Linked DNA regions of Sus scrofa. The protein of the gene in region 1 purifies or fractionates together with the protein of each later gene. This does not show direct contact. Links are inferred from orthologs where the notes say so. Each region holds a gene or a part of one and is shown in the gene's direction. Other genes may lie near its edges.

What was found. The genes of interacting proteins can lie anywhere in the genome.
Region 2: the proteins of WASF2 (region 1) and BRK1 purify together in Homo sapiens (co-immunoprecipitation; 3 studies listed by BioGRID and IntAct, with this or other methods). This does not show direct contact. The link is inferred for Sus scrofa from reciprocal best matches to the Homo sapiens genes WASF2 and BRK1.

Annotation. Positions count from the first base shown.
Region 1 is NC_010448.4:84,694,629-84,698,817, reverse strand, and holds the start of WASF2 (wiskott-Aldrich syndrome protein family member 2), read left to right. Parts: upstream 1-1,389; 5' UTR 1,390-1,573; intron 1,574-4,189. UniProt on the Homo sapiens protein: Downstream effector molecule involved in the transmission of signals from tyrosine kinase receptors and small GTPases to the actin cytoskeleton. Promotes formation of actin filaments. Part of the WAVE complex that regulates lamellipodia formation.
Region 2 is NC_010455.5:66,314,009-66,318,237, forward strand, and holds the start of BRK1 (protein BRICK1), read left to right. Parts: upstream 1-1,429; 5' UTR 1,430-1,505; coding exon 1,506-1,707; intron 1,708-4,229. UniProt on the Homo sapiens protein: Involved in regulation of actin and microtubule organization. Part of a WAVE complex that activates the Arp2/3 complex. As component of the WAVE1 complex, required for BDNF-NTRK2 endocytic trafficking and signaling from early endosomes.

The DNA of each region.
Region 1 (4,189 bases):
CAAATCCGAGCTGCAGCCACTGCCACAGCCATAGCCACAGCAACACGGGATCCAAGCTGCATCTGCGGCCTACACCACAGCTCATGACAACACCGGATCCTTAACCCACTAAGTGAAGCTAAGGATTGAACCTTCATCCTCATGGATCCTAGTCAGGTTCGTTAATCACTAAGCCACAAAGGGAACTCCCTTTGTTTGGGATTCTGCCTTAGCTGACCCATCTGTCATCTCTTTCATCCCTGGCTCACTTCCTGCTTCTGAGGACCCCAGAAACAGCTCATGTGCACCCCTAGGATCACTTTTCCCAGGAACCTTGGTGATTAACAATAGCTGGGGGGTGGACTGTGCCTAAGTCTATGGTAGCCAGAGAGATGGGAGACTGGCCAGGCATCTTCAAGACCCTCCCTGGAATGCTACGATGTTGGGGAGGGAAGTCTTTTTCAGGAGACACCAGTCCCAGAAGGGAGAAATACATGAATGGAAGCCAAAAGATACAGGTTTGAGTCCCAAGGTCGTTTCATATCCTCTGGGTGACTCAGGGTAAGTCATGGAGTTTTCCGTTTTCACTTCTGCAAACCGAGGACAGTATCTGCCTTACACAGTTGCTCCAGAATACCTAAATGAGGTTCCTTTGCTAACCTGTTAATTTGTCATCTCGATATCCAGCCAGCAACCTTTTATAATCGATAAGACACACATATTCCCATTCATGCATGAATCCTTAACAAGCACTCTAGAACACGAGGCAGACATGACTACTCCTATTTTGCGGAAGGACAAACTGAGACCCAGATAAGTTCAGAGTTGTCTGAGGTAACAGAGTGAGGTGGCGGCTGAACCAGGGTCCAACTCACCTGACCCTGGCCTTTCAGAACCAGCTCCCAGTCACAGGACCCCGGGCCTCGCCCCGGATGAATCCCTTAGCAGCGGGCTGGAGTCTATGACTCACTCTCCCCACCCTTTTTTCTGCCCCGCGGGAGACCCGGAGGAAAGTGTCAAAAATATCTGCAACTTGAGGGGTGGCTACAGAAAGTTCATGGGCCTGGCCCCTTCCTTCCACCAGAGATTCTGGCTCTTTGAACTCTAACAAAGAGGATTAGCCATTTGATACACTTTTACAAGGTTTTACATTTTCTTAGGTGGGACTCTCCTACTTCGAATTTAGGAATTTTTTTAAGTTTAAAATCCACCCCCACTTCATTTGGTTTGCCCCTTGCTGTTTACTCCGATTGCGGAAGTAGCTCGGGTGGAGCTCCCGGGACTGTACTATTGAGTACGTCGTTTGCGTAGCTATTTAACTGACATTCCACTCGGGCCAATGGAATACCCGGAAGCCCCCGGCGGGTGGGGCAGAGAACCAATCAGGGCGGTTGGCGGGGTGTGGCCGCATCCCAGGGCGGGGAATCGCGTAATGGCGGACGCGTGCCGGGTGATCGCGGCTGGGGGCGTAGCGCGCTGAGGGGGGGGGTCTGGCTGTGTGGCAGCCGGCGGGGCGGCCTGCGAGAGCAGACCCCGTGCAGAGAAAGGCGGCCGGCCAGCCCCTCCGTCTCTGAGGGCGACCGCACGATACAAGGTGAGCAACAAGTCCCTGCGGGCGGGCCCGGCCCAGAGGCGCCGGGCCGACCTGGCCGCCCCTCCCAAGCCGCTCTGTGTCTCGGGGGAGTGGGTGCCGCGCCTCCTGTCGCGGACCGGCAGAGGCCGGGGGAGCGGCAACGCGGGGTAGTGTCTTGCCGTACACTCCTCCCTCCCCCAGGAGGAGGTGTCCCGGAGATCCCCTCGTGGGCTTGGAGGGGCCTGTGAAGCTGAGAAGTGCCCCAAGCTGACTTGGCTCTGCCACCAACTCGTTGTATGACCTTGGGCAAGTCACTTCCCTCTCTGGGCCTCATTTCCCCCATTTGTAAAGCGAAGCCTTTGCAGGCAGATGTGCAAGAGTTGGATCCCAGACATTGTCCGAGATATTGGGCAAGTTCTTCCCCAGGTGGAGCCTCAGTTTCCATCTCAGGGCCCTGAAGGCACTGAGGTGCTTTTTGAGATTTTAGGCCTAAGTTGCAGAGTGGCAGGGAGGTGTGTGTGTGTGTGTGTGTGTGTCTGTCTGTCTGTCTACAGGATGGTCTGCAGAGTAAGGAGAAGAGTTGGCTCCGGGGGCCCATCCAGGAAGGGTCTGGGTAAACCCAGATTATAGTGGGGTGGAGTGTGCTTGTCTTGGTCCTCCAGGATCCTAGAGCCTTTGAGATGGGGAAGTTTTATATAGGTCTCCATAGAGACAGAAGAGGAAGGAATCCTTGGAGCCTCTTGGGGTTTTGATTGAAATTTAGGCCCAAAAGAGTTCAGGTGGACTAGGAGGAGGAAGGGGAACATTTATGGTGCTCCTACTATGTGTCATACCTGGTTTAGGCATATGTTCTTATTTAATTTTTACAGCTACCCTTGAGAATTTGCACATAAGGAAACTTAAATTTCAGAGGAGTTAAGTAACTTGCCCAAGGTCACACAGTAAAGTGCAATGCTTACCAACACGAAGGTGTTTCCTTTGAGAATCATTGAGCCAGGGAGAATTCACTGTCCACTTAAAGGAAGTTTGCTTTGTCACACATTGGGGGAGAGGTCGGGTCCTAGACACTTGAACTGACTTTTGAAAAAAAAATTCATTTTACTGAAGTATAGTTGAGTTACTTGAATTCTGGCATGGGGACAGGCTGGGTCTTGATCTCTAGACAGTAAATTGTAACCCTTTGTTCAGCCTGTGAGTTGAAAAGGACCATTTCTAAATTGTAAAAGTCACATTGAAGTGTGTCAGAACCTCAGCAAACTCAGTTTGAATCCTTGCTGTGTGGCCTGTACAAGAAAGTTCACCAACTATTGGTGCATAGACTTGATTCTCAATTCAGAGTTGATGCCAGGCTAGTAACTTTTTCTTTTCCCCAAAAAGGCCACGTTTTCCTGGGATGGATGAAATTCCGTATTTGTTAGTGCAAATTTCTTTTGATTGCCAGGGTGAAAGTTTCAGTAGCCGGACTCTTGATTAAGTGAAATGCTCCTTTATTTGTGCTTCCTGTTATTTGACTTCTAGATGATGAAAATTGTGGACCTAGAGTGGGTACTATAAATTGCAGCCCGAAATTTTTCCAAGCCTCAGAGCTTTTGGTTAATCAAAATGGTAGGACGGCAGTGTGTATTGTACTCATATGTCAGTGGTAGGGAAGAAAATTGGAAGAGGAAGTTGCTGAGAAAGAGGGCGTTTCTTAGCAGTGGAGCCAATATGTATTTCTTTGTTTGAAATTCTAAAACCAGAAAAGCAGCAACTGAAGGAGGAAGGAAGGAAAGAACTCTGAAACTCCTCTTCCCGTTGAAATACCTTTAGACTGTCCCTGTTACTGTCCCGTCTGAGGCTCTGCTTTCATGGAAAAAGTCAATTGTAATTTGTTCAATGTTCAGAAGTTGTATTCTAGAATGAAAGAATTTTAAATCTTAAACCGTCTGATTTAATGAAAAAAAATCAGAACACCTTAGTGAATACGTTACTTATCAGTAGATGATTCTTTTTCTCAACATAATTACCAGTTGTGGTCTTTGGGTTTCTTTTTTTAAAAAACTGATTTAAATTAGTGAATTGCAGGAGTTCCCCTGTGGCTCAGCTGTAATGAACCTGACTAGTATCCACGAGGACGCAGGTTCAATCCCTGGCCTCTCTCAGTGGGTTAAGGATCCGATGTTGCCGTGAGCTGTGGTGTAGGTTGCAGACGCGACTCGGATCCCATGTTGCTGTGGCTGTGGTGTGGGTCAGCAGCTACAGCTCCAATTCAACCCCTAGCCTGAACTTCCATATGCCTTGGGTGAGGCCATAAAAAGGCAACAACAACAAAATGAGTGGATTTCAACCTAAGAGGAATTGATCTAGGTATTGGATGATGCAGATATCACCATCACTTGAAAAACATGTAATGGTGTGTTCGGTTTTTGACATTTGTTAGAAGTCTTTATAATGCTTTATTTTTATGGGATTGTCTGTGTTAATAGTTAAGACATTGAATTTATTGCTTGTGAAAATCTACCCATTCAGTCTCTGTATTAGTTATATTTTCTGTATAAGATTTAATCTTAATTACTGTACCAGCCTACAGTACCTTGGGATCAAAATAAAAAAGTTCTTGAGGCCAAATGTGCTTCTGAATTGAGAATTTTTTGGATT
Region 2 (4,229 bases), on another chromosome or scaffold:
TGACAGAACTCTGTAAACCAGCTATAATGGAAAAAATATCATTATATAAAATAAAGACAGTTCCCATCGTGGCGCAGTGGTTAACGAATCCGACTAGGAACCATGAGGTTGCGGCTTCGGTTCTTGGCCTCGCTCAGTGGGTTAACAATCCGGTGTTGCTGTGAGCTGTGGTGTAGGTTGCAGACGCCGCTCGGATCCCATGTTGCTGTGGCACTGGCGTAGGCTGGCAGCTACAGCTCGGATTCGACCGCTAGCCTCGTGAACCTCCATATGCCGTGGGAGCGACCCAAGAAATGGCAGAAAGACTAAATAAATAAAGACAAAATATTTTTTAAAATTGTTAAAAAAGAAAAAGAAAAAGGAATTCCCATCGTGGCACATTAGAAACGAATCCGACTAGGAACCATGAAGTTTCGGGTTAGATCCCTGGCCTTGCTCACCGGGTCAAGGATCCATTGTTGCCGTGAGCTGTGGTGTAGGTTTGCAGACGCTGCTTTGATCTGGCATTGCTGTGGCATAGGCTGGCAGCTACAGCTCTGATTAGACCCCCTAGTCTGGAAACCTCCATATGCCAGGGGTGCGGGCTCCCCCACCAAAAAAAAAGAAAAGAAAAAATTTTGTATTTTGTTTTCTTCTTCACTTTAGCATGTGTGTTCTGTTGCCATAATTGACATTTAAATGACCTCATAATATTGCTCTAAGTGACTATACTGATATTTAGCCATTCCCCAACAGTTGAGATTTGTTTTTTTAAATGAATGATGCCTTTAAGAACATTGTGCTCAAAGTGTTTTCTCTTTTCCAATGAGCTCTTCTTTTTTGTCTTTTTTGGGCCGCATCCCAAGGCATGTGGACTTCCCAGGCTAGGGGTCGAATCAAAGCTGTAAGCTGCCAGCCTGGACCACAGCCATCAGATCAAAGACTCTGCAGCTCTATCTAACCCACTGAGCTAGTGCCAGGGATGGAATCCACGTCATGGATACTAGTCATGTTCCTTACGGCTGAGCCACAACGGGAACTCCACCAATGACTTTATTAAATTTCCTTCTGAATAGATCTTGCCAGCTTACAGTATGACCAGCTATTTACTAATTTTCCCATTTCCCTTCAGCCAGCCTCTTCATCTCTAAGTATTATAGTTTAAAAAAATAACCTTTTGTTCATTTGATAAATGCAAGGTGGGCATCATGTGTTGTTAAAAGGCATTTTTGAAATGACTTGTGTTTTCTGTGGTTTAATTGGCATTGCCCAGCTTATTGTGGTCAGAGATCTCAGTTTGGAGCGCCTGAAGTTAGGGTTGATGCGGGCTCACGCGCCCCCTAACGACCAAAACTGCCAGTGACTGAGGGGGGACGGGGGGGGCTCTGAGTGCGTGCGCACTCCATTCTCCAAGCCGGTTTTGCGGCCACCGTTTTCCGGGGTGTGGGAGAAGAGCGAAGACGCTGGCGGGGACTTGACAATGCGCAGGCGCATCACGAAGCCTGTGGATTTGTGGCCAACCGAGCATGGGCGTGGGCTGGCTGCGTCGGCGCACTGGAGGCCTGGAGGGTCGAGGCGCGTGCGCAGTCGCGCTTCCTTCAGCTGCAGCCATGGCAGGCCAAGAGGATCCCGTGCAGCGGGAGATTCACCAGGATTGGGCGAACCGGGAGTACATTGAAGTCATCACCAGCAGCATCAAGAAAATCGCAGACTTTCTCAACTCGTTTGGTCAGCGGGCGAGCAGGGGGAGGCAGGGAGGAGGGGGGCCCGCCTAGGGAGGGCGCTGAGAAGCTTTGACGCGGGTTCTGGGAGCCGTGGGCTCCTGCTGGTGTTTGCTTCCGCCTTCAGGCCGCACTTTTCCCCTCTCGCTCTGACCCCCGGCCTCCACTGATCATTCCCTGTGGGGTTATCCTGCCCCACGCTGAGCTCATCGGCTTCATTGCCTTCCCCCCGCATCCAGTAACAAGTCCGTTCCTTTCCCGGACGTGTCAGACAGCCCCATCCATCGCCTGAATCTTTCCTTCTCTTCAGGCGTCTCCCTTCTTTTGTGCTTCGTTTCAGTCGTCACTTGGTGCTCAGAGAGCGCTGTCCAGAAGCCCTTTAGCGTCGAGCCTGTTAGTCGCCCCTCCTGTCGGTCCTTTCCTGTCTCGGCGTGTGCTGTGCAGAGTGGTAGATGAGAGCGGAGGAGGGCCCACATCGCGTCCGGCCAGGGACATCTCTGCATCGCTAGTATCTAGACCACAGTGGGTGTTGTCTGCTTCTAGCAAAATCTTTCCTTGGCATGACCTGTCCGTGACAGTCTTAAAGTTCCTTCCGCGTTGTTTCCTATCCTTGTGCTACACCCTGCAGCAGAGACTCCTGACTCTTGTTCTCCGAGTGTTACTTTGAAAGAACCGGGCACTGGGTAAACTTTTTATGTCATCACAAGGTGTGGGGATGACATCTAGTGATCTTTTTCCAGTTGTGCTTCTGGCCCACTAATTCAGCAACATTAAGCGATTAAGTAGGGGAAACTGATAAATTTAAAAAGACTTAAAAAGGAATTATTTTCTTGCTAAGAGAAGTCCAAAGGAGTGTATAAAGGTGACAGCAAGAGATTTGTCCAAAAGCATCAGCAAGACAAACTAGATCTGAGTACAAGGCTCTTTCTCAGTCTCTGTGGGGAAGACAGAATAAGAACCATTTCCTACAATTAAGTGATTTCTATTTTGAAGATGAAATAATGACATCAGAGCAAAGCAGAACATTGTTTCTGATTTAATATATTTACATATAGGAATTCCCCTTGTTGCTCGGCAGTAACAAACCTGACTAGTATCCATGAGGACCTGTGTTTGATTCTTGGCCACACTCAGTAATTTAAAGATCTGTGTTGCAGGAGCTGTAGTGTAGGGTGCAGAGGTGGCTGGGATTCTGCATTCCTCTGGCTGTGGTGTAGGCCAGCAGCTACAGCTCCGATTCAACCCCTAGCCTTGGAACTTCCATATGCCTTGGGTTTGGCCCTGAAAAGACAAATATATACATGGTCTTTTACATTTGTATGTAAATACACATTATTTATTTATAATAAGCTTATAAAATATATAAATATATATACTTGCATACAAATGTGTAGGACTATAACCTTTTTAAAAAATGTTTAAAATTCTTATAGCCATACCCATGGCATATGGAAATTTCTGGGCCAGGGATTGAATTCAAGCCACAGCTGCAGCAACAACAGATCTTTTAACCCAGTGCCCTGGGCTGGAGATTGAACCCACACCTCTGCAGTGACCAGAGCCACTACAGTCGGATTCTTAACCCACTGCACCACTGCAGGACCTCTAGAACTATAATCTTGATATGTTTTGGGATGGTGGAGTCCTCATTCAGGGACTGGGGGAAAGGTTGTATTAGTGAGCAGTAAGAATAGTATAAATTATATGCCAGTGATACATATTCATACATATTACTTGCTATAGAAGTTGTGATAGGAATGGTAGTTAAGAAATTATAGATCTCTGGGAGTTCCCATCATGGCTCAGTGGTAATGAACCTGACTAGTATCCATGAGGACTCTCACTGATTCCTGGCCTTGCTCAGTGGTTTAAGGATCTGGCGTTGCAATGAGCTGTGATGTAGGTCTTAGATGCAGCTCGGGTCCCTTGTTGCTGTGGTATAGGCCGGCAGCTGAAGCTCTGATTCAGCCCTTAGCCTTCCATATGCCATGGGAGCAGCCTTAAAAATACAAAAAAAAAAAAAGAAAGAAAGGAAATTATAGATCCCTGGAAGTTCCTGTGTGGTGCAGCAGGTTAAAGAGGCACAAGCCACAACTGTGACACAGGCTGCAACTGTGGCACAGTTCAGTCCTTGGTCTGGGAACTTCCACATGCCGAGGGTGTAGCAAAAAAAAAAGCAGCAGCAGAAAAAGAAGAAATAGAAATTAGTATCCATGAGGATTCAGGTTCGCCCTTGCTGTGGGCTGTGGTGTAAGTCACAGACTCGGCTCTGATCCCAAGTTGCTGTGGCTGTGGTGTAGGCTGGCAGTTACAGGTCCATTTTGACCTGGAACTTCCATATGCCATGAGTACAGCCCTAAAAAGCAAAATAAATAAATAAGTTCCTGGGCCAGGGATTAAACCTCAACAGTGACAACCTTTACCTGTTGAGCCATGGACCTCCCTCAAGTTTTTTCTGTCTTTTTTTTTCTTTTTTTTTTTTTAGCGCTGCCATATGGAAGTTCCTAGGGGTCGAATTGGAGCTGCATC